Linked DNA regions of Solanum lycopersicum. The main gene of each other region encodes a partner of the protein of the gene in region 5 in a complex. Links are inferred from orthologs where the notes say so. Each region holds a gene or a part of one and is shown on either strand. Other genes may lie near its edges. The genes, in order: small ribosomal subunit protein bTHXc, small ribosomal subunit protein cS23-like, small ribosomal subunit protein bS6c alpha, 30S ribosomal protein S13, small ribosomal subunit protein uS10c and small ribosomal subunit protein cS23.

Region 1 (3,515 bases), on a different chromosome or scaffold from region 5:
TGGTGACCCAAACAAAAGAAGTTTTTTTGTGACTGGATTTGCTCACTCACATCTTGACTAATTCTTCGAGGTAAAGGTTACCTCCAACCAGCACAGATATGGAGTAATTCTATCCACGAAGGTCTAAATAAGAACCACCTAGGGGTCATTTGGTAGGATGTATTAGCTATGACATTTTTTGATCCTTTCTTTGTTCGAGGCCAAAGTGCCCTTGATAATATATCAAACCAAATAGTGGGTAGGAAATAGCTCCAACATAACTAATCCCAGCATTAGTAATACACTATATATTACTATTCTTATACACTCTACAAAAAGACCTCCTAATGTGTTTGTCTCCGCTAGTATATGAACCTAAAACCTCGTGGTTTTCAACCCATAAGGAATGTGGGGTTCTCTAAGCTTTTCACTTTTCTCAATAGCTAAAGTAGTGACTATTACCACTTGTCTACTGAAGGTTGCTAGAACCAAAATGCATAATTTAACAGGACACAAGAGCATTTAAACGAAGACCCTTCAAGCAAACTAGAAATCTCAGTCCAAATGATTAACTTAATCGATATTTCAATGAAATAAACAAAGTAGTAGAAGATTAGAGCTACATAAAAATGAAATTGCTCCTCCGAGAAAACTATGGGTCATGTATTTCAATTTTAACGACTTGGCCATCATCAAATGGATCTCTCTTTGGTGCTGCTGGTGGTGCTGCAACCCTAGGTGGTCCTCTTCCCTTCTTCTTGTTCCTTGGCCTTGCCTAAACCAATTCATACCATCGGAATCAGTTCAAAATAACAACAAAAAATGTCGAAACAACTGTTGTTTTTTCACTATTTCTGTCAAATCTAACGAACATAAATTGTTAAACGTATGATGATAACACTCTAAACTTCAAAGTACTAAAAATTGGTTAGAGCATATTTAACAGACTATTTTGAATCTATCATCAACATTGGTGGTTAACGAAGAGGGTCGAGAATCATGAGGTTTCAGGTTCAAATTCTATCAGAGACAAAATAACACTAGGTAATTTATCCCATCTATTGATAAAATTAGTCGAGATGCATCTAGGTTGCAATCAAAAATAAACTTCAAAACTTTTTAGGGGTCAATTCGTCTAAATGTATGAACAATTGAATCTCAGTATAAAATTCTATAATATTAAAAGCATTAAACTCCTGCATTAATTATGCAAAACCTTATGCACCAATAATCTTATTCCAAGTGAATCTATAAATCATTTTATATGGAATTAACATTCATTTAATCAAATATGAGTTAAAAAATTATTCATATTAAGTAATTTGTGTTGATATCTTATTTATCAATTTCAACAAAACACATACTTCTCTTTTCTAAAATTTAAAGGCATAAATACATTAAATATCTCATGGAATTATTTATTCATCTTCGATACACTCGTTATTTTAAGCCAATACCTTTAACTCAAATATGCAATAAATTTAATCTCAAATTCTATTTCGAGATTATTATTCTTATTCCACGTATCAAACTAGAATGTTAGTGTAGGATTCTCCTAATATAGAGGAGGTAAGTGTTTGTTTATAAAATATACAGGGGTGTATCTGAAACTAAATCATATTAAGGAGGTCTTATCCTGCAATAAACCAAAATATACAAACTCACATTGCCAAAGGAGTGATTGAACCGCTTGCCTTTCGCCGTCTTCTTATCACCTCTACCGCAGTAAACTGAAAATGAAATCAAATCAAAATTTCAATTTCTCGAACTGAAACTTCAATCATCACAAAATTTTCACAAACAATAAATTCGAAAAGGTATGTGATTCGTACCCAATGGGAGATTTGAATCAGTGAGAGACGAAAACGAAATTGATGGTGAAGGAGATGCCGCCGTAATTGAAACGCTGCCGGCGACGGAGTGAGAACGAGAGAATGATAAATTAGGAGAAAGAGAAGCCATGGATTGAACAGTACTCATAGGAACTGAACCAACTAACAACGACGCCATTGCAGCAGCTCAACTGATAGAATTGAGATTTTATTTGTGGTGGTTCTATAGCTTCTTATTCTGTTTCTAGATAATGTGCCCTTTGTCTTTTTTTTATTCAAATACCCCTGAATTAAGGTAAAATTCACTTATTTTTCCTTGTTTTTTTTTTTTAAAAAAAAAAACGTTAAGAGTTACTTGGATGGTAAATACCATTCATTTTAAACTTTAAAATTGTGAATTCAAGTTATCAGAAGATCAATTATTTTTTATGTAAAAGTATATCAAGCAATAAACTGAGACCTGAAAAGGATTGTTTGGAACGAGAAATAAGGAATAATAGTGTTATCTCAAACTCTATCTGTTCCTATTTAGTTGTCCATTTTAGAAATGACAAACATATTAATATAGCAATAATTAGAATAGTGAAGTTACAATTTTGCCCTTATTAATTATGATTTCGAAAAAGATGAATTAAAACTTAAAAATTTTCAGGAAGCTTAAATAAGAATATAATAAGAAAAAAAATTATCTTTTTTTATGTGTGAAAATAGACAAATAAATTGCAAAATGAGACGGAGGGAGTATAAATATAGTTAGATTTCATCACATACATAAAGAAATTTTAACATATATAATAATTAAGAGAAGTAATGAGATAATAGTACACCTCTATGACAGACTACTTGTCTACATTAACAAAGATATTTATTCAAAATTACTTGTCAAATTAAAAAATTAATTCTATTTTTTTCCATTTTGCACCTTAAATCGACTCTTTTTGATTAAAAATATAAATATTGTAAAGTTCCTCTTTTGTTATTAACAGATAAAGACACAAAAAATAGAATTTATGAAAAATAATTATAACAGTAAATTAGTAAAAAAATAAATATTTTTAATATTTCTTAAAAGACAAGAAAAAAGAAAAAAATGTACGTTGATATACAATGTAGGAAGTAACACAATGATTAATCATACAAGACATTCCCAATTGATTATAATTTTTTTTTTACCAAACTCACTCAAAAATACAAAAATATATTAATAACAAGTCAGTCAAAAGATGAAATACCCTACTCTACAAAAATTTGAGAACTCAATTCACTTATTATCGACCACAAAATTGACCTCGAACTATGACAGTACAGATTCATATAGTCGACCTCAACTTGTTTGGTACTGAACCGTAGATGTTGTTGTTGGTGGTGGTGAACAGCTCCCATGCAAATCACTCTACTCAATCTAGACACAGAAAATCAAGAACAAATAATATAGCCATTTCCCTACAGAAAAAAAACACAATAGATCGATCATTCACGTTAGTATTTATTCAAATATGTGATTTAAATCGACGTCTTGAGGAACTTCTTCTCCACTCTGTAGTTAAAATTACCAGAAGCATAAGGGAATCTCACCATTTTTCTCCTTAGTTTGATGCATTTCTTGAACAATTTTTCTCTGTTACGACTAAACTTCTTCACCCTTCTTGTTATTGATAGAAGAAGTACTACTTGGAAGGAAACAAGTTTCCTCGCCACCCGTGT
Region 2 (3,937 bases), on a different chromosome or scaffold from region 5:
TCGTTGTTCAACCCCAAGCTATATGGTAAGAAATATAAATCACTAGCCTAATTCAACCCCAAAACTTAACTCATTAAAGGGATAGTCCAAGACCATATAAGGATACCAAATGACCCTATCCCAACCAATGAGGGACACTTTAACAATATATGATGGGGCCAACATCGAAAACGATGAATTGCGATGGGTCTGGATTAGATACCTTTGATGAGAAATGAATCTTGGACCTAGCAAATGGAGAAGGATTAGCCAAGACTATATAAAGAGACCAAATGAGCGTACTATCCCCACGACGTGCGATACTCAACATAGATAAATTCCTACCATCAGTACAATTTAATTTTGTTTCTGTTAGATGTTAATATTCATGAAGAACCAAGGCTAACATTTTAAGATATATAGTTTACAATATGATCCAAAAACTAAAGGAAACAAGAGGAAAATCTAAACAAACAAATTGAATAAGTTTTGACTGACCTTTCAAGTGAAAAAAGTTACAACATAACAGGCATGATTGCTAAAGATAAATGATGAACAGTGGCAGCATGACAAATCTTGTTCTATGAAGGCTTAGGCTAAATCACCACCACTCTGTTGCCACAAATTGATGATATCCGTGGCCTGATTAAGAAGAATAATTGCCTGTTTCTGGGATATCCATGGTTTACTCTCGAGCATGACTTTAAGTTCCTCCCAAGCATCTTTTCTAGGCCAAAAATAGTAGGGGCTCAACGGAATCGTGCCATGACCAGGAATTACCTGGTCTAGTGAAATTCCGATGTTCTTCTCCATCCAAATAAACTTCAACACTAGCCTAGGTTTCTCCAGTGGCTTGACCAACACACCGAGCTTCTGTACATCCAGCAGATTGTAAGAGCCAAACACCATAATGAAAATGGTGCAAATATTATGAAATTCTTAAAAAACTAAATAAAATGAGAATCAAACACCAAAATAAAGATATTGCAGACATAACTATGTAAATCAAAGCAGTTCGTCTCTAACCATTGAACTTATAAATGTCTTGAGACATTCACGCAGCATAGTATTAAAGTACACAGATGCATTGGTACGAAGAACCAGCCATCAATTTGGTCCAAGAAAGAAACAGAGCCGAGGAGACGTGTTGCATACATAACAAAATAAATAAAAACAATTTTTTTTAACAGGTTAAACAACTAAATGAGACATTCACCCAACATCGTATTAAAACGACAGATGCACTGGTTTGAACCGTCATCCATCAACTTGGTTCAAGAAAAAAGAATCGGAAAAGAAAACTAATCAAACCCGTGGAGATCTGTTGCAGCCTTTCAGACATAATAAAAATAAAGATAAAAGACCAATTTTGCTTTTTAAATTTTTGAAATAGGACAATTATGTCCTCCATTTCGTTTTATGAAACAAAAATGCCATCGCTGTTAGCCAAGTGGCTCAAAATTTCCCTACTCACTAACGGTTGTCCCACTCAGATGGAAAAGGGACAAAGTTATCCTCCAGTCCTTAAACAAAGTCAATATCACCCACAAAATTTTGGAACCAATGAGGCATCTGGTCATGTTTAACATTTTATATATCATCCCTAACGAAAACAAATTTATTTGCTTGGTCATTAATGAATATTGATTAGGTATTAAGAACTTGTTCTTGATAGCAAATCTTCACAAATTAATGCTATCTTTTACGAGAAAGACCTTTTTCCTGTCAACTGAAAAAAGATACTAATAACGTTCCCATAGTATAAAGTTAACTCGAATATCTACTTTACGCTAGTACGGAGAGATTGAATGTTATGATATAACTGAATACAAACTTACACTTTGATCAACTTAAAAGATGATAGCATAGTAAGAATGTGATTTATCAAGCCAGCTAATGGCAAAGGTATTTTTGTGCCAAAAACCGAAACGGACAACAAAGTAATCTTATTTCAAATAGTTCAAGAGAAAAATTGGCCCTTTTCCTATAAATAAATCTGCCCCATTATTCCTAAGCTTACAACTTTTCTTTTTTAAAATTAGTATTCCAATTTCCAGGCGATCCCCAAATCGGAAGAAACTACATATTATTCTTCATAGTGCCTCTGGTGGATTATTACATGGTCTTCCATTGTAATCTTTTTCATTCTAGTTCTATTGACAATTAAGACACACCCTTGGATGCAAAATCTTTTAACATTAAGAGGATGGTTCACTTCCCACAATTCAACAAAAAACTAAAGGATTATAACGGGCAGCGCGATGCACTAAGCTCCCTCTGGACCATGTACTGTCCACAGCCTGGTGCACTAAGCTCGCCCCCGAAAACAAGGGCCAGTTGTGCAGGTGTTGGTTGGTTAACAAACAGAAACCAAACAATGGATAGGAAATAATCGCAGCATTACTGATACTTATACACACTCTACCAAACAACACCTAAGAGGGAAGTCAGAGAGTGAAAATTACCTCTTTTTGAAGAGAATCTGAGGAAATAGAATCACGGGTCGATGTTTCTTCAGCAAAACTCAAGGCAGCCGCAGCTGAAGTAGCAAAACCCCCAAGATTTCTTCTGGGTACGATTGCTGAGACATTAGAACGTCGAGAAAAAGACTGCCCCTTTGTAAAGAAGACAAATTTGGGTGAAAAAAATTGGTTTTGAGAAGAAAACGCAGGAACCCAATTCACAGTAAGCTGTGTAGCCATTGATAACATCATTTTCAACAGCTAAGGGGAAACTCAGAGCTTCTCTGTCATTGTGTTGTGTTCTTCATCAAAGTCTAGATAAGAAAAAAAGATCCGACACAATATAACCCGACCCGGATTTTTTGGGGTTGGGTAAATCTATTTAAATGATAGCCTAATATCACGGATTTCGACTTTAAAAGTGACGGATCATGATACTAAACTTTATAAACTATCGAATATCCACCAAAAATTAACTTAGCAAACTTTAGTGTTGGGACTATACTTTAGGTTATTGTTTAATTATTTGGACTAATTTCAGGCTAATTTAGGCCGATATAATTGCAACAATAGCCTAAAATTTCTGAATTATATGTTATTTGTGGATTGGAGTACAATTTTTGGATAATTTTAGATAGGATATATTTCTAACAATGAGATTATATTGTAACAACAATGCTTACTCAAATGATTATTCTATGTCTGGACATTTTATTCAAAGAAAAAAATAAACTTGGTTCTCTATCCTTAAGATGATTGTGATACAATGGATGGTAAAAGGTTTAACGAAACCAGAAATTATAGTGATTCAGCGGCTAAGAAGGGACCTAGAATATTTACGACTCCACTTTTAAATACCCTTCACTCCCTTTAAAATGAAGTCTTTCTTTTTTGATAAAGTGATCAAAACTCGTAAAATAAATCAATATATCATAATATTATAATGTATATCAATATCATCTATGAATCGCAATAACATAAAATATGTTAGAATAATTAACTCGAATCGAATAAAGAGGAAAAAAAAGAAAAGAGGAGGCCAAATACAAAATGGTCAAAAAGTGTAGTTTTGGAGTAAACTAACCCAAAAGAAAACCGTGAAAGCCAGCGCGACTCTAACAAGCAGCCACACCAAACAGTCCTTTAAAACGGGTCAACCCGTGAAACACGTAAATCTTCAATAACCCTTTCTTTTTTGGCTTTAAATTCACTTCAATTTTTTTCATTTTTCCTTCTCATTCAATATCCTTCTAATTGGAGTTTCTTCTTCTTCGTTAGAGACATCAATCACCAGGTAAGTTGTCCAATTCAGTTTTCATGTTATTGATTGGTTCAGATTTAGAGATATACCATTAGATTCTGTTGCTGGTCTCTCTACTTCATAGAGACAATACACTTGTAGATAAAATGTTCAATAATCCTTTGAAGTCTTCCACTTTGTTTGAATAATTGTTATGTATTGTCACATAATGTATCGTATTCAATGGCAGAGCCAC
Region 3 (3,963 bases), on a different chromosome or scaffold from region 5:
TATATCGACTGCCAGTTTCTAAGCTTGTTAAAGATGTGCCAGCCTAGAACTTGTATACCCCCTTCACAGAATAGCTAAGTGGACGGAAATGCTAAATATTTGATCTTCAGTGTGACAAGTTCGAATCATAATGGCCTCTTGGCTACTCTTGCTCAGTTTTTTCGCTCTTTTACTTCTACCTATTAACCATGTGTAGGAGAAAGAACCCGTTTTTTGTAGATACTGATGTAAGACCTATTACTAGTATAGATATAGATAGTAGTTCTGAATACTGAATGCTTCTAGGAGAGTGATGAGGGGTCAAAAGAGACTGGATTTTGATCTTTCTAGCAACAAAAAACAGCATACCCAGTGTGATCCCATCAGGTTTGGGGAGGGTGATGTGTATGCATGCCTTGTGAAGGATACACCTTGCTGCTCATGTAAATTCTTCTAACCCAGTAAACTATTACCCTGTTTTGGGTGTTGGGCTCATGTCATAACTCATAAGCCAATATCTTTGTTTTGTGGATATATACTTAATATATACACCTGCTTCCACTTCTATTGCAAACTTCCAATTATCCTTTTTATCTTCTATTTTCATAAATGGAAGATCCAATTGATATATTCAATTAGTCATTCGTCAAGTACATTGCCAACAACATAATCATGTACAAGATCACAATTCTCGATTCAACAAACATAACTCGAACAATGCAATTTGATTTAACATATAGAAAGTGCTATGTTTTTGTTATGCTAAATACATTACAATAGATTCTTTGTTCATTAGGAGATCTTCACCAAATTATTTATTCAAAACTTTGCTTACTTCTACCTCCTTATACTATAGTTAAGAGGGAACACAAACTGCCAATAAATAAATAAATATGGCCTCTTATAGTCACTTTAACTTGGTTAATTTTGATTTTGATCCTTATAATATCGAACTAAACACATTTAATCTTGAATTGATTAATTCTTTTAAAGAGGATTAAAGTATTTTTAGACGAATATTACCGTAAAACATGAAATACCAATACAATTTCATATTATATGAAAATTAAGTGATAGAACAATTAACCATCACTTTCAATTAATTAAAAATAAATCAAATTTAATCCATGACTTAAATTTTGCAAGAAAAAAATAAAAAGAAAGGAGTAAAGTAGCATTTACAAGTCTTGAGGGTATCTAAACAAAAAAAAAGCAATAAATTTCACTTGTACAATTTTACCAACTCAGAACTGAAAATTGTGAATTTCCTCTTTCTTATCCACTTTATCTCCCTCAAGAATGGCGTCTTCTTCTTCTTCTCCATCAGTACTTCCATCTCTTACCTCCACTCTCTCTTCTTCTAAACCTTCAATACCCTTCAACTTCAAAGGTTTCACCAAAAGGGTCAACAATTCTGGGCAAATCTTGAAAGCCCAAACTCTAGAATTTTCGGGCTCGTTTTTCGAGGGTGGATTTGGAGGAGGAAATGCTGATGAACCACCGACTACACCATGGTCGGGTATTTCTGCAGTTGAAGATAAAGAGGAACCGCAGTGTCCACCTGGGTTACGCCCTTATGAAACAATGGTGGTATTGAGACCTGATATGTCTGAAGATGAAAGACTTGCTCTTACCCAGAAATACGAAGAGGTAACAATGATTGTTTTTGTTTTTGGAAACTGATATAACTTGCAAGGTGCTAAGCTCAATTTGGGTGGATTCTAAGTTTTCAATTGCTGATTTGACTGTTTGAGCATTAGAGTTGAAGTTGAGAGTTCTAAAGATTGAATTTTTGAAACTAATATACTGTTTCTTTCCATTTTGTTTGGCGCATTTTGCTTATTTAGGGTCAATTTGATTGACTTTTGGAGATAAATTGAACTAGACTAATTCCTTTTGTATGAGAAAGTATTATAATTCTCTTAGTATCCCGAGTGTTCTCCGGAAACAGCCTCTTTACCTCCAATATATAGGTGTATGGTCTGCGTATACTCTACCCACAGACCCCTCTTGTGATGTTTCACTGTTTTTTTGTTGTTGTTATTGTAATTTTCTTAGTATCTATGCTGAAGGCAAAGAATAAATTTTTAATATGTTTGTCATAGTTCATGAATGAGAAGTGAAGGTTGCCACACATTAGGACTGAAGGAGTAAGTATTTTTATCAGAAGTTGAGCTGCATATAGTATCATTTGATACTCTTCAGCTGATTTCATTGTGAACTGGGAAATGAAGATAATTATACTCATTTGAAACAGGGAGATCATTTAGGAAACAGAACAAGTGATTGATATTTGGTTTGACATGATGAGAATTTCTTCCATTCCCCTCTCTTGGCTAAAAAAACTGTTTTTTTTCTTTCTTTGTCTGCTAAGAGGCGGAAACCTGAAAGCAAAAGCAATATCGACCTTGCAATTTATTTAAGCACAAGATTGTCCAAGAATATTCTTCCTTTTTGTTTTTTTGTCTACTCACTAGAAGGCCATTCTTTGGAAAAATCAGATATTTGAACCTAACAACAGTCAACAGTGTTTGGGTGCATAATTCAACATTTTGTTATAATTTAAGCTGACATGGACATGATCTAAGTAAGAAGAAAGTTAGTCTCAGCTTCTGCTACAATTTTCATTCTTCTTGTTCCCATGTAAGAGCTTTCATTTTTAATCTTGTTCTTTTTCTCTATCTGCTTTTCGAGTCCAAAAGCCTTGGTCTGATGACTATTATCACCTTATCATTCTTCTTTGTGAACATGGATGATCATTGTATTTTTGTTTGCCCATCTCATTTTTGATGTTATAGTCGACGTCTATAAGAAAAATAGGCTTGCAAAGCTGCGGAGGACAATAATAGAAGTACTTAAAGTTGATGAAACTCTATTTTCTACATGACCCGTTTACTACTGTATTTCCGTTTCTTACTGATTGTTGTTTTGTTTCACTTGAGCCGAGGGTCTATTTGGAATAGCTCTATACCTTTACTAGGTAGGGGCAAGGCTGCGTACCCACCAACATCCCCATATCCCGCATGTGGGATTGCACTGAGTATGAAAGGACTTAAAGTTGATTAAACTATCTGTCATCTTTCACCTACAAATGATTGGGGAAACTTTCACTTAGTTAAATCCCTGATAAGCTTGAAGAGAGAAAAAAGTTAAGCATCAGCACACGTGTCTTTGTTCTATGTTTGTTCCAACATTTACTGCGTTTCAGCTTTTGCCTAACAGGTCAATCAAATAGACACACTTGTAAGTGCCAATGTTTCCCATGTTTTGTGTTTCTCTTTGTCAGATACTCCGTCTAACCAACCAAAGAAACTCTCTTCAACATGGTATCGGATCAGGCTCTCATTGCCACACATTATCAAAAAAGGATTTACACAAGTCCACACGTGAAGGGAAATATTAAAATTATACTTGACCATCTCATCTAAAAGTACATAATAGACTTATAGTAACTCTGTTATGGATTGAACAGTTCTAACTAATATTGTCTCCGATCAATTTCAGTTGTACATGCTATTTGACGATGCAAGTTATAATCTTTTGTTTTTCTTTCTCTTGGGCAGTTGCTGGTTGCTGGTGGTGGTATGTATGTGGAAGTCTTCAACCGAGGGGTTATTCCACTTGCATACAGCATTAGGAGGAAAAACAAAGCTGGAGAGACAAATACGTACTTGGACGGTATCTACCTCCTGTTCACTTATTTTACTAAACCTGAATCCATTGTAGCTCTTGAGGCAACATTGGTAGCTGATGATGATGTTATCCGGTCGTCCACTTTCAAGATTAGGAAAAGAAAATACTAGTTTGGTTGGTTAGTTTAATTTGTGTATCTGTTCAGTTGTAAAAGACGATAACAGAGAGCAGGCAAGTTTTCCTCATCGCGCCTTTCAGATGTTTAAGTCATGACAGTCCTTTTCACAGCAAAACAGTATCAATTTGTAACATTCTTTTATATTACTGAAAGTTGCCATTACATTCTGCTCA
Region 4 (3,648 bases), on a different chromosome or scaffold from region 5:
TCTGAACATCATCACTATTGAAAAACAGAAGTCATGGTCTTCAAGAAACCTGAGAAAAGTGAACCTTCTTGAGTACTAAAGGGGTGGGACTTAACTTTCATGCTCATGCATGTGACAAAAAGGTGCCACAAACTCTATGCTTTTAGTTAATTCTCAAAATGACCTAACGAGTCATTACATTAACAATGCTATGACTCAAATTGTAAAACTTTGGTATCACATTAATGCAAATACTTGGCCCAAACACATTACTGAACTTGAAGCTTAAACCAAGGCTCATAGATAGGGACTGCACTTCATAGGTCGTTACATCAACAATTATTATGACACCTAACGTAACTTAACAAACCTTTCTCCTGTCAACCAAATCATCCAATCAGAATAACGTAAATTCGCAATTACTCCACATGAAACACATTTAACAAGATTTAAGGAAGAGATTATGCCTAAGCATCAACATTCTTCTTGAAAAGCTCTTATCTTGAAATGTAGAAAAATGATTTCAATGGAAAAAACTGTTTATAACAAACAAATGCACAGTTTGCCATAGGAATATAGAGTGTAACTTTTACAAGTTAGTTACCAAAAGAAATGAAAAATCGATCTTGATTTAACGAGGTGCCTTCTTCTTCCCTGCAATTGCTACTTTCTTGCCCTTCAAAGTACGGCAATTGTTCTTTGTTCGTTGTCCTCTGCAAGGCAATCCTTGGATGTGCCTTACTCCTCTATAGCACTGAATCTCCTTCAACCTCCTAATGGCAAGAGCATTGAATCTCCTCTGATGCCAACACCACAAGTATGTAATCAATTTTCCCGTTTCAAATAGGAAGCCGAAGCATCAATCAAACAAACAACCTTATACACAAGAATCTCAATCAACATTGCCAATTGCTAAACAAGCTATCGATTTCTTCTGAAATACATTTCCATAAGAACTGTTTAATTTGGGATAAGGCTGTGATGCATATAGAAGCCATGATCCTACATACCCACCTAACAATAACTCCCCTTGTTTCGATTTGTTTGTCCGGATTTGACTTGACACAAAGTTTAAGAAAGTAAAGAAGATTTTTCGATCTTCTGGTTTTAATCTCAAGATATGTAGAATGCAGTTTCAGCTCAAATATGGTTCTTTCCATGTAAAAGTTGGACCAAAGATTGGTTTAAGATATTGTTTTTTTGGTTCAATTCCTATCTTGAGACAAAATGAATTAAATTTCTTAGAACCCCAAATGGCATTAAGTTAAACTATAGAGCTAAAATAAACAGCAACCACAGCAAAGTTACATGAACTAGATATCGAAATCAAATTACCTAAGCATATAAGTTTCAATAAGGATATGCACATTGGAACGAAAACAAATGAGTACAAATTAGAGCAATGAAACTCACAAGGTCTCCTTCAATCATGTACTTAGAGACTTCTTCACGAAGAGTGATAAGTTCCTCTTCCGACATGTCTTTCATCACTTTGTTCTCCATTTGAAGGTCTACCAGAATCTGGCGTGCAGTGGTGCGGCCAATTCCATGAATGTATTGCAAAGAGAACTCAACTCTTTTGTTGTTTGGAACTTCCACTCCTCCCACACGCACACACTTTATAACCAAACCTGCAGTCTACACAAAACTCATTTCAGTTCAAACTCAAAATCATGGAAAATTTAGCAAAACCCAATTTAATTCCAACTCAAAAAAGTCCAAAAATATGAAAAATAAGCAAACCTCAATTCAATCCCACCTCAAAAAAACGGAAACTTTAGCAAAAAAAACTCATGTTGGGTTACTGAGAAAATTTCGAAAAATCCAAAAACTCATTCCAATTCCTACTCAGGTAAAAAAAAAAGTAATCTTTAGCAAAACCCATGTTTGGTTACTGAGAAAATTGCGAGAAAAAAAAAGACAAACCCCATTCCAATTCCTACACGAAAAAGGTCAAAAAATGTAAACTTCAGCAAACTCCATGTTTGATTACTGCAAATTTCAAGAGAAGGGAGTGAAGTGTACCTTTGGAAAAGATGTGGGAGTAGAAAAAGAGAGGGAACTGTGCTTGGAGATGGAAGATGTGTTGCAGATAAGGGAAAGAGAAGGAAGTACAGGAGTTGCTAGTGTTTGCGCCATTGTTGAAAATCTTGATTGATGAAGAAATTGAAGAAGGAAGAAGATAGAGCCTTTTGCTGGTCTATTTTTCTTATCCTATTGGGGAAAATTGGATAGGGAATGGAGTTCTTCTTTTCGACCTGGTTTGCTAATATGGAGCCCCGGTTGTTCTTTTTTTTTTTTTTTTAAATTTTATTTTATTAATATGGTATTCGGGCTAGTTTTCATGCACTCGACTAAATTCACCGATGTCTATCATACTGTCACCTCCCAATAAGGATGTGGAAAAATCGAATCGATCAATAAACCTATTAAAAAAATGTTATTGGGTTATTGAATTATTGAGTTAATGGATTTTTAACGGATCTATAAAGGGTTTTTGATTAGGTATCAATTTTTAGTATTTGGTTATTGGATGAATCGATAACTCATTAAGACGATAGTAATTTATTACTATGCACTTTATAAATATTATTAATAATTTAACATAACTAGACATTATATCAGTACTCTACACATTTTACACGTCACATTACTTCTATTTTACATCTGAAATTTCATATTATGTTTTGGTTGTAACATGTAATTGTAGCCTTCGTATTACATCTAATTGAAATGAAGAAAATATTAGCTTTACAAAGAAATCTCTACATTTCATTTCTGATATCGCTCTTTTTATCTAAGGCCTAACCTAAATTTGGGGCGATAGAAATGCGAGTTGAAAATAAATTTACATGATCACTTACCAATTGAATAAAAAGAAAATTGATCTTTTAAAATTTTGTAGGCATAAAAATAAAGATCTCTCATGGGCAACAATAAAAAATTCTTATAAACAACATAAGATTAGAAGTGGTTATAAAATAATAAAGCAAGAACAAGAAGAATATTTTAGAGAAAATTAGAGAGAACCTATTTTTAAAGTAAAGAATTTTATAAATTTTAATACTCCATTAATTTAGTAATTTTAATATTATAAGATTATAACTAATAAATTTCATGACTTACTAATCCTATAAATTACATCTTAATGGGTACTTCAAACGATTCTTATGAGTTGTGAGTAATTTACTTTATAAATTCCTAAAAATAAAACACCTTCCAATTGCAAAATCCTACGAATTTGCTAGCAATAACTAATAACTGTTTATGCGGCATTATAAATAGCAACTTAATTGCCACCCATTGAAAAAATTAAAATTTATCCATATTAGATGTTTATCGCAAATAAATAAATGCATAATATGTATATGTATTGAAACATACACAATAATTTTAATTTATGATTAATTAACATGTATTTCTACTTTATTAAATCATTAAATTTAATTTATTTTTAAATATAAATTGTGGCGTAATGATGAAATTGTGTCACCCTTAATCAGATGTTTCACGTTTAAAATCTTAGGTATGAGGAAAGTTTTGCTGGGAGTGCCACTCTTGAATGAGTCCACAATGCGCCGCGATCAGAATTTGTCGGGGCTCTAATTAATTGCAAGTTCAAGCCCTAGGTATCAAGAAAATTTTGTTAGGAACGTCACTCTTGAATAA
Region 5 (4,079 bases):
ATTTAGAATAGTTGATAGATAGACGTAATACTACAATCCCATTTTTGTGTAGCCAAAATATTTGTGCCAGTTGAGAATAGTTGATCCTCTAACAACATGCCTGCATTCTTTTTCTCTTTGGTAATAATTAAGAATGTCAATGTTTGTGGGAGCAGCTGGTTGATTCAGTATGTATTATTCTCTGAATTTCAAGACATTAAGATTGCATCATATGATTCATAAGATTTACTTATATGGAATATTGACCACTATGGTTTTCTTTTCTACCGGTAAGAGTGCAATACATGGTGTGTGGGTTACGTGCATGTGAGGTTCCGAAAGCCTGCTTGATATTTAAGTGGAGAAGAGTATGAGTAGATGGGTAGAATACCTGGTGTGTGGGTTACGTGCACGTGAGGGTTCCAAGTTATTGCGGATGGAAGCCTACTTGATATTTAAGTGGAGAAGAGTATGAGTATGAGTAGATGGGTAGAATACATGGTGTGTGGGTTACGTGCATGTGAGGGTTTCAAGTTATTGCGGATGCAGCCTACTTGATATTTAAGTGGAGAAGAGTACGAGTAAATGGGTAGAATACATGGTGTGTGGGTTACGTGCATGTGAGGGTTCTAAGTTTTTGCGGATGAAAGCCTACTTGATATTTAAGTGGAGAAGAGTATGAGTAGATGGGTTGATTCATTATTTATCGAGTTTTTAATTGTCGTCATTTGAAGTATGAGGTTGTCCTTTCTCCTACTCAGAGAGACAATTCACTAGCGTTTTGGTGATAAAGAGTTTGAAATTTTAACTTCAAATATCTGCTTAGCCGTGAAATTTGATTAGATTTATTTTATCTTCAAATATTTCTCACGTTCCTAAAATTGATTAAGACTAGTTTTTAGGACATACTCACAAAACTTCAAATTTTCAATTTGATGAATAGCTATTTATGTCAATTTTTCCAAAATAACACAAGAATATTTTTCTTTCGGAGATAGCGATACTTTGAAGTTTGATTATCAAAAACATAATACGTAAATAAACACTTAAATTTATAAGTAAGCAGTTCAATTTTTGAGTATGTACATCTAGACACTTAATAATTGAATACTCCAACTCAAGTCACATAAATATTTATTTATGTATTATGTCAATTATCAAACATAACAAAAAAAAATTAGAAATCAAATATAAATATCTATTTATGTATTATATCAATTATCAAACGTAACAAAAAAAAAATTAGAAAATTAATTCAAATGTTGTCCAAATACTAGGTAAATATTTGGGCCTAAGAAGCAATAAAAAAAGGGAAAATACATAATAAGGATAAGCCTTGTACAGAAAATTGTATAGTTATTTCTCTTCTTCGGATAAGCTTTAAAACACAGAAAAATTGAAGAAGCTCCTAAGGAGGAGAGCTCCAATCTCCATTAGAGACCAAATTCGAACTTTAGTGAATACCCAAATGGCGATTTCATCGTCTTCACTCTCAGCAGCTCTTTTTCCAATGTGTAATTCATCTTCCATTTCTGCACAACCCAAGTTTTCTCTTCTGTCTTTGCATTCAAATTCTGTTAAGTTACAAGTTTTCAACCAATCTCGAGTGTCTACAACTAAGGTTTTTGCTTCTCCTGAAGTTTTGGATGCCCAGAATGTTGAAGCTGATGTTGAGGTTTGTTAATTATTTGGGCTATTTTCAGTAGACTATACTGTGTGGTTAACATTAAAAAAAATGCTTTTTTTTTGCTGAATTATTGTTGGGTATTCGTCTTTCTACTGAATTGTTGCTGGGTATTCCTCATTTTACTGTATTGTTGCTGGGTATTCGTCTTTTTACTGAATTGTTGCTGGGTATTCGTCTTTTACTGAATTGTTGCTGGTTGTTCCTCATTTTGCTGAATCGATGTTGAGTATTTGTCATTTTGCTTTATTTATAGGATATTCTAGCTGCTTCAACGCTGAGTATTGGTGGTGACTCTGACAAGGTAAACTTTTTCTCTTCCAGTCCTTTAATTTTTTAATTACTAACTGTGGTGTCTGGACCAACTTGCCCGCACTTGGTACCTCTGGGAAGCACTGGTATCAGGTAACTCTGTCTACCGACAAAGGCGAATGTAGCCTCATAGAGCCAACTACTATGATGTTGAGTATAAATATAAAGTTTGTAGAGGTTCACTGAGACTACAACAATTAGTAGGTCTTAATCCATAACTTTTAAAATATTGTAGATTCGATGCTAAAACCCATAGAGTTCAAATTCTGAATCCACCTATATATACCAAGGTTTGAATAGATGGAAAAAATCAACTAGTGCATTTGCCTATCCTAAATTAGTTGAGTTTGCGTATAAGGAATCTTGTGTACACATTCACCATTATTGAGGTGGGGTGGAGATGGTTCAGTGAAAGTAGACTATTTTAGTGAATCTATCTCAATCTGTAACCTTTATTCGCTTGGGACACCGCTGTGCTTTTTGTGAAGTTCATATAGGCAGTGTTTTTAGGGGGTGATGTTTGATGACTCGTGATTCCTTCTGAGATTTCTGCATTGCTTTATGTTATGTGCATTTTGTTTCTATCTAAGAGAATGTAGTCAAGATTTTGCCAATGTATTATGACTAAGATGTTTCCATTTAAACCGTTTATCTCTCATGTAGAAGTTTACACACTAGACAAGTCTTAGGAATCAACCATTTACTGTTTATACAGTATTGGTGTTTGTAACTGATCACTCAAGCTTATTTTTGTTTGTGTTGGTGTGAACACATCTTTTTTTTTGAATTTTATGCTGCAGCCTTAATTGAGATGGATACTTCTTTTTTGTTGGTAACAGTTATGAAATAGGATAGAGCTGTATGTTTGTCCATAGTCTTAATGAAATATTTGTTGTTTGTTTTCTTCTTTGGCTAGTGACTTTAAAATGTATTAGAATGATAACATTCTTTTGCTTGGTGCTGACAAAAGCTAGCCTCATGGCTGGAGGAGAACATGGGGACATGAAAAAAAGAATAGTTGTGACATGCAGATTATCACATCAGAAAACTACTCTATCTATACCACTTAGTGAAGCAACCCTAAAATTCACTTGCAGTGAATTGGAATTTTCTTATAGGGAAATTTGCAATGATGATATAATCTGCTCAACAGCCAGGCAACTTTTGATAAATGAGCGTACAAAGTTCTTCACTGTTAGATTCCTCAAATTGGTGATTGTGGAACCAATTGGTCTTCCTCAGTTACTGAAAGTCTTAAGTAACCTGGAGCTTTAGTAGTGAATTGATTATCTCTTAGCCGTCTCCTCTAAGTAATTGTGTGCGCTGAATAATTTTCTTCTAAGAATTTTTATTGATGCATCAAGAAGCAAAAGTACAGAAATTTGTCTAATGGATAAAGCATGCACGAGCTACATCTAATGCTTTTCGGACCTTTCACTACTGTGTTGGGATGCTTCATTATTATAGTAACAAGGTCATTAATATTACTCCTAGTGTACAATCCTCTTCAAGGATAAATTTGAGTTGTATTTCTCTCTGGCTACTAAGTAACATTGATCGGAAAATATTATTGGTTGAAATGTTCACTTCTATCAAGACTACTTTCATAAAGGTTTGATTAAAGCGATTTTTTGGTTCACTTATTTGCTTGATAGTAATTGTGTTCAGCTATGAATTCTAAAAGAAAATCTTTGAATCATTTCTAGAAGTCCATGTAAGCTGAAAAAATATTAGAATTATAGTGAAACTGGAAGGTGGTGGGTTGCACAGGAGTATGCTGTTTTTAATGAAACTGGAAAGGTCATTGCAGATTCCGCCTTTAACTCTCACTTAGTTATGAATTTTACGAACAGGCTTCCCTCAGTTTATAAGTTTTATCTGTGGGAGTCCCTGCAAAAATATTATTTCAAAGTTAGGATGGACTTGGAAAAGTTATTGTTCGATATGCAAGAGGTGTAAGCACCATGAGGTGTGAAGTGATCTCGGGCTTCTCCTTCCAGCTCTTGGATACTTATTCAGTACGAGTTAAATCTATGAACTTCGCTGAGAAGCGTCCAGTGGCTGTTCTAATTCAGCATTAAGCTCATCGTGGCTGTGTAGTATC
Region 6 (3,438 bases), on a different chromosome or scaffold from region 5:
CGAACCTTCATTTTATCCAGTCCATTTCAATTATGCAATGTACGATATCATCATCAATCTCCGTTCTTCCGGGATACGACACCTCTAGCCCAATATTAGCTCTTAGGAAAAATAAAACCAAGCGTCACATTGATCATAAAAATATACTTTTTTGTGTATGTAAAGGGCAAATTATAAGTATGAATTGAATTAGTGGTTTCTTCAAATTTGCAACTCATTTTGATCACTTCATAATTAATATGACTAATATTAATATTATTATTTTTTTATTATATGATTTTGTCAATATCATAAAATTCAGCTCAAGTAATGTTTTTTCTTCATAAACTTGAATGAGTAGTACGCATGGACATATATATCAAAAGTCGTCTCTTTTACTAATTATGTAGAAAATGACATTGAAAGAAAAATATTTATGATATATGAACTTCATTTTCAATTTTTTTTCAGATCTTATTAAAAAGATGGCTTTTTATTAATACCAATAAGAAAGAATGTAGCTCTAGGACATTCTTAATATGCCCCTCTTTTGTTAATATTAGAGATTTAATTTCACGAATAGTCAAAGAGGCATACATATATCACACTCATCCACATGTTCAAGGCGCAACATCTATCTCAAAAAATGATTTTCTAAAAATAATAATGATAGACGTGTTAAAAAAGTAATGTGAAGTCATTGTCGAGAGAGTTGCTGACTAATGACCTAAAAAAGTACGTAACATTTGAGAAGCACGAACAATCTTCACCCATGAGATACATTCTACTTTTTTTTGAATAATCAGATAATATTGATCAATTTGATTAGGGATGACAAAATTAATCTATAAAAATCTGATACTCATAAGTTTTGTCTACTAAGAATTGTAAACTTGATAAAAGTTGAACATATTAGACTACGACAAAATACTAACCCATCTTATCTCAAATTTATAATCTTCAAACAAATCGATACCACTCGTTTATCAACACAACTTTAACTCTCAAAAAATTGTTCAATCCGCTCGTTTGACATCCCGAATCAACTCAACGTTGCTAAATATACAAAATTAGTAAAGCTATGATAACTAATGATCATATTTCTTTTGGGCCCAAATCCCATAACATGACCAAAGTCCTCACCCATAGGCCTCTTAGCCCAATTTAAACAACTTTCATTTTTTTTCTTCTATTACCTTATCCATTCTATCATTATCTCAAATTCTCTATACACACTCTTTTTAAGGCCACAATTTTCCCACTTCACTTTTTTTCATCACTAGACAAATATTTTTTTTATCTACACAAAAAATGTTATCAATGTCTGTTCAATCTAGCTTGAAAGGCAATTTGAGTATCCCTTCTTTACCTTCACAAAATCCAGGTTATAAATCCTTCAAATCATGTTCTTCATTATCTTTTAACAACAAAGGTTTATCAACAAGAAGAATTCATAAGATTTTTGCTTCAGCAGTTGCAGAAGCAGAATCAGTTGAAGTTGAGACTTCAGAGTCTGTTGTTCAAGAAATTGAGGTAAAAAATCAGCTCTTTAATTTTCAATTAGGTAACTTTTTTCGATAACTTAGTGTCTAGATTAGTTTTTGCGCTACTCAATTAATTTCATGAATGGTAGTGTTACTTCTCACTAGTAAAATTGAGTAATCTTTGTCTGATTTTGACTTGATACGTAATTTAAGAATGTAAATACTCCCTCAATCCATCTTTACTTGGTCATTATATTAAAAATAGTCGTCTAACAATACTTGTCCAATTTGAAAAACATGAAAACCCTTGATATTGAATACTACTATTCAATATATAATACATTTTCCAAAGCATCAAATTTATATTCAAAGGATAATATAGTAATATTTTAGAATCATTTGATATATACGACAAATCTAGAATTTTTAAGTCTTTGAATTCACTTTTACTATGATTATTTAACACGTACTGTGTTGTTCGACTTTTCTAAATATGAAATGGTAGTCCAACAACTTCTTAATGAAAATGAGTAATAACTAGCAAATTTATGAATGTTTTAATTAATAAAAAAAAGGCATAATTGGGGAAATATATTGATCATTTAGCTAAAAACAGAACAAAAATGGAGTTAAATTATAGCATTACCTATAAATATAAGTTATGTTTCGACAAAAACTAGATATATCAATTCGTACCCTCGAGCCCTAAAATTTTAGTGATGATGAATTCAACCTCTAGATCAAACATTTGTGTCATATACTTGCACCCGTACCAAAACAACATAATGTATGTACATATTGACCCAAAAATAACAGATTCAGTTGAACACTTGAACACATTTAACTCATCCTAGCTAGATACGCCTATGACAAAATCCAATCTCTGACTTCCACCCGTGTCAAATACTCAAACTCGTATTGAAACGTCTACATTATTAAAGATGAAAATAAGAAGTTCAGTTGAATGCACATAATTCATTCCAGATACGTACGACTATATAAATAATAAGCCCAAAAAAGGATAGGATATTATGTTTTGATATCTTATAGTGAATTCTTGGATATATTTTTTTCAGAAAGTTGATATGAAGAAAAAGGTAATTGAGAAGCCAAGGCTAGTGCTAAAATTCATATGGATGGAGAAAAATATTGGACTTGGCCTTGATCAAGTTTTACCAGACCATGGAAGTGTACCATTAAGTCCATATTTTTTTTGGCCTAGAAAAGATGCATGGGAAGAGTTGAAAACAACACTAGAGAGTAAGCCATGGATATCACAAAAGCAAATGATTATTTTGCTTAATCAAGCTACTGATATTATCAATTTGTGGCAGCAGAGTGGTGGAAATTTGACCTAATTGTTGTTTTTGGTATTTATTTGTAGACAAATTGTTTCAACTTTCTGTTTTTGTTTTATCTTATTTTTAACTGTACTATAGTTGATGGAGAATACAATTGGAATCATTTTTGTTTCATTTTTTAAATTGTTTAATGTGTTCTGACTGGACGATAAGATAATCAAAATTTGTGAATAATTTAATAAGATAGGTGAAATGAAGATAGTATCAACAAGTTTTATACGCACAAAATTGAAACCATGGCCGATTTTGTTTTCTTTTAATTCAATATATTTTTTAGCGATTGTTCATCTTCCACCGCCCGTTATATTTGGACTTTATTATGAACTAAAAGCCCGTAAAGTCTCTCTAGTTGGGTTGGTTCATCCTAACAAGGCCCATGGGCTCTATGGCAACTCTCACTTGAAACTTGCGATGGAAGAATCCTCTTTTCGTAATTAGTGGCTATACTAAGGGTAAGTTCCCGCGATGTTCAACTACGACATCGTATAAAGGCCTTCGTGCCCAATGTTTCCTGTGAATTCGAAGTACAGAAATTTTGACAGAAGTTTTTTTTCCCGCGCTCTGTGAATTCTCCAATCCATGGCTCCTAAAGCAGATAACACTGAAGGTAACTT

Evidence for each region.
Region 1: small ribosomal subunit protein uS10c (region 5) and small ribosomal subunit protein bTHXc share a complex: the UniProt entries of both Arabidopsis thaliana proteins name them as parts of the 30S ribosomal subunit. The link is inferred for Solanum lycopersicum from reciprocal best matches to the Arabidopsis thaliana genes AT3G13120 and PSRP4.
Region 2: small ribosomal subunit protein uS10c (region 5) and small ribosomal subunit protein cS23-like share a complex: the UniProt entries of both Arabidopsis thaliana proteins name them as parts of the 30S ribosomal subunit. The link is inferred for Solanum lycopersicum from reciprocal best matches to the Arabidopsis thaliana genes AT3G13120 and PSRP3/2.
Region 3: small ribosomal subunit protein uS10c (region 5) and small ribosomal subunit protein bS6c alpha share a complex: the UniProt entries of both Arabidopsis thaliana proteins name them as parts of the 30S ribosomal subunit. The link is inferred for Solanum lycopersicum from reciprocal best matches to the Arabidopsis thaliana genes AT3G13120 and AT1G64510.
Region 4: small ribosomal subunit protein uS10c (region 5) and 30S ribosomal protein S13 share a complex: the UniProt entries of both Arabidopsis thaliana proteins name them as parts of the 30S ribosomal subunit. The link is inferred for Solanum lycopersicum from reciprocal best matches to the Arabidopsis thaliana genes AT3G13120 and EMB3137.
Region 6: small ribosomal subunit protein uS10c (region 5) and small ribosomal subunit protein cS23 share a complex: the UniProt entries of both Arabidopsis thaliana proteins name them as parts of the 30S ribosomal subunit. The link is inferred for Solanum lycopersicum from reciprocal best matches to the Arabidopsis thaliana genes AT3G13120 and PSRP3/1.

Annotation. Positions count from the first base shown.
Region 1 is NC_090804.1:66,172,055-66,175,569, reverse strand, and holds small ribosomal subunit protein bTHXc, read right to left. Parts: upstream 2,213-3,515; 5' UTR 1,990-2,212; coding exon 1,812-1,989; intron 1,710-1,811; coding exon 1,645-1,709; intron 755-1,644; coding exon 632-754; 3' UTR 501-631; downstream 1-500. Other genes in the region: uncharacterized protein, read right to left, coding at 3,439-3,515.
Region 2 is NC_090802.1:7,166,588-7,170,524, reverse strand, and holds small ribosomal subunit protein cS23-like, read right to left. Parts: upstream 2,801-3,937; 5' UTR 2,694-2,800; coding exon 2,445-2,693; intron 853-2,444; coding exon 571-852; 3' UTR 365-570; downstream 1-364. UniProt on the Arabidopsis thaliana protein: Component of the chloroplast ribosome (chloro-ribosome), a dedicated translation machinery responsible for the synthesis of chloroplast genome-encoded proteins, including proteins of the transcription and translation machinery and components of the photosynthetic apparatus.
Region 3 is NC_090807.1:67,612,550-67,616,512, reverse strand, and holds the start of small ribosomal subunit protein bS6c alpha, read left to right. Parts: upstream 1-1,163; 5' UTR 1,164-1,278; coding exon 1,279-1,629; intron 1,630-3,542; coding exon 3,543-3,782; 3' UTR 3,783-3,963. UniProt on the Arabidopsis thaliana protein: Binds together with bS18 to 16S ribosomal RNA.
Region 4 is NC_090804.1:939,423-943,070, reverse strand, and holds 30S ribosomal protein S13, read right to left. Parts: upstream 2,198-3,648; 5' UTR 2,119-2,197; coding exon 2,005-2,118; intron 1,618-2,004; coding exon 1,393-1,617; intron 779-1,392; coding exon 611-778; 3' UTR 501-610; downstream 1-500. UniProt on the Arabidopsis thaliana protein: Located at the top of the head of the 30S subunit, it contacts several helices of the 16S rRNA.
Region 5 is NC_090809.1:1,050,946-1,055,024, forward strand, and holds the start of small ribosomal subunit protein uS10c, read left to right. Parts: upstream 1-1,279; 5' UTR 1,280-1,447; coding exon 1,448-1,654; intron 1,655-1,919; coding exon 1,920-1,967; intron 1,968-4,079.
Region 6 is NC_090804.1:4,043,275-4,046,712, reverse strand, and holds small ribosomal subunit protein cS23, read left to right. Parts: upstream 1-1,203; 5' UTR 1,204-1,290; coding exon 1,291-1,512; intron 1,513-2,539; coding exon 2,540-2,821; 3' UTR 2,822-2,938; downstream 2,939-3,438. Other genes in the region: homologous-pairing protein 2 homolog, read left to right, coding at 3,404-3,431. UniProt on the Arabidopsis thaliana protein: Component of the chloroplast ribosome (chloro-ribosome), a dedicated translation machinery responsible for the synthesis of chloroplast genome-encoded proteins, including proteins of the transcription and translation machinery and components of the photosynthetic apparatus.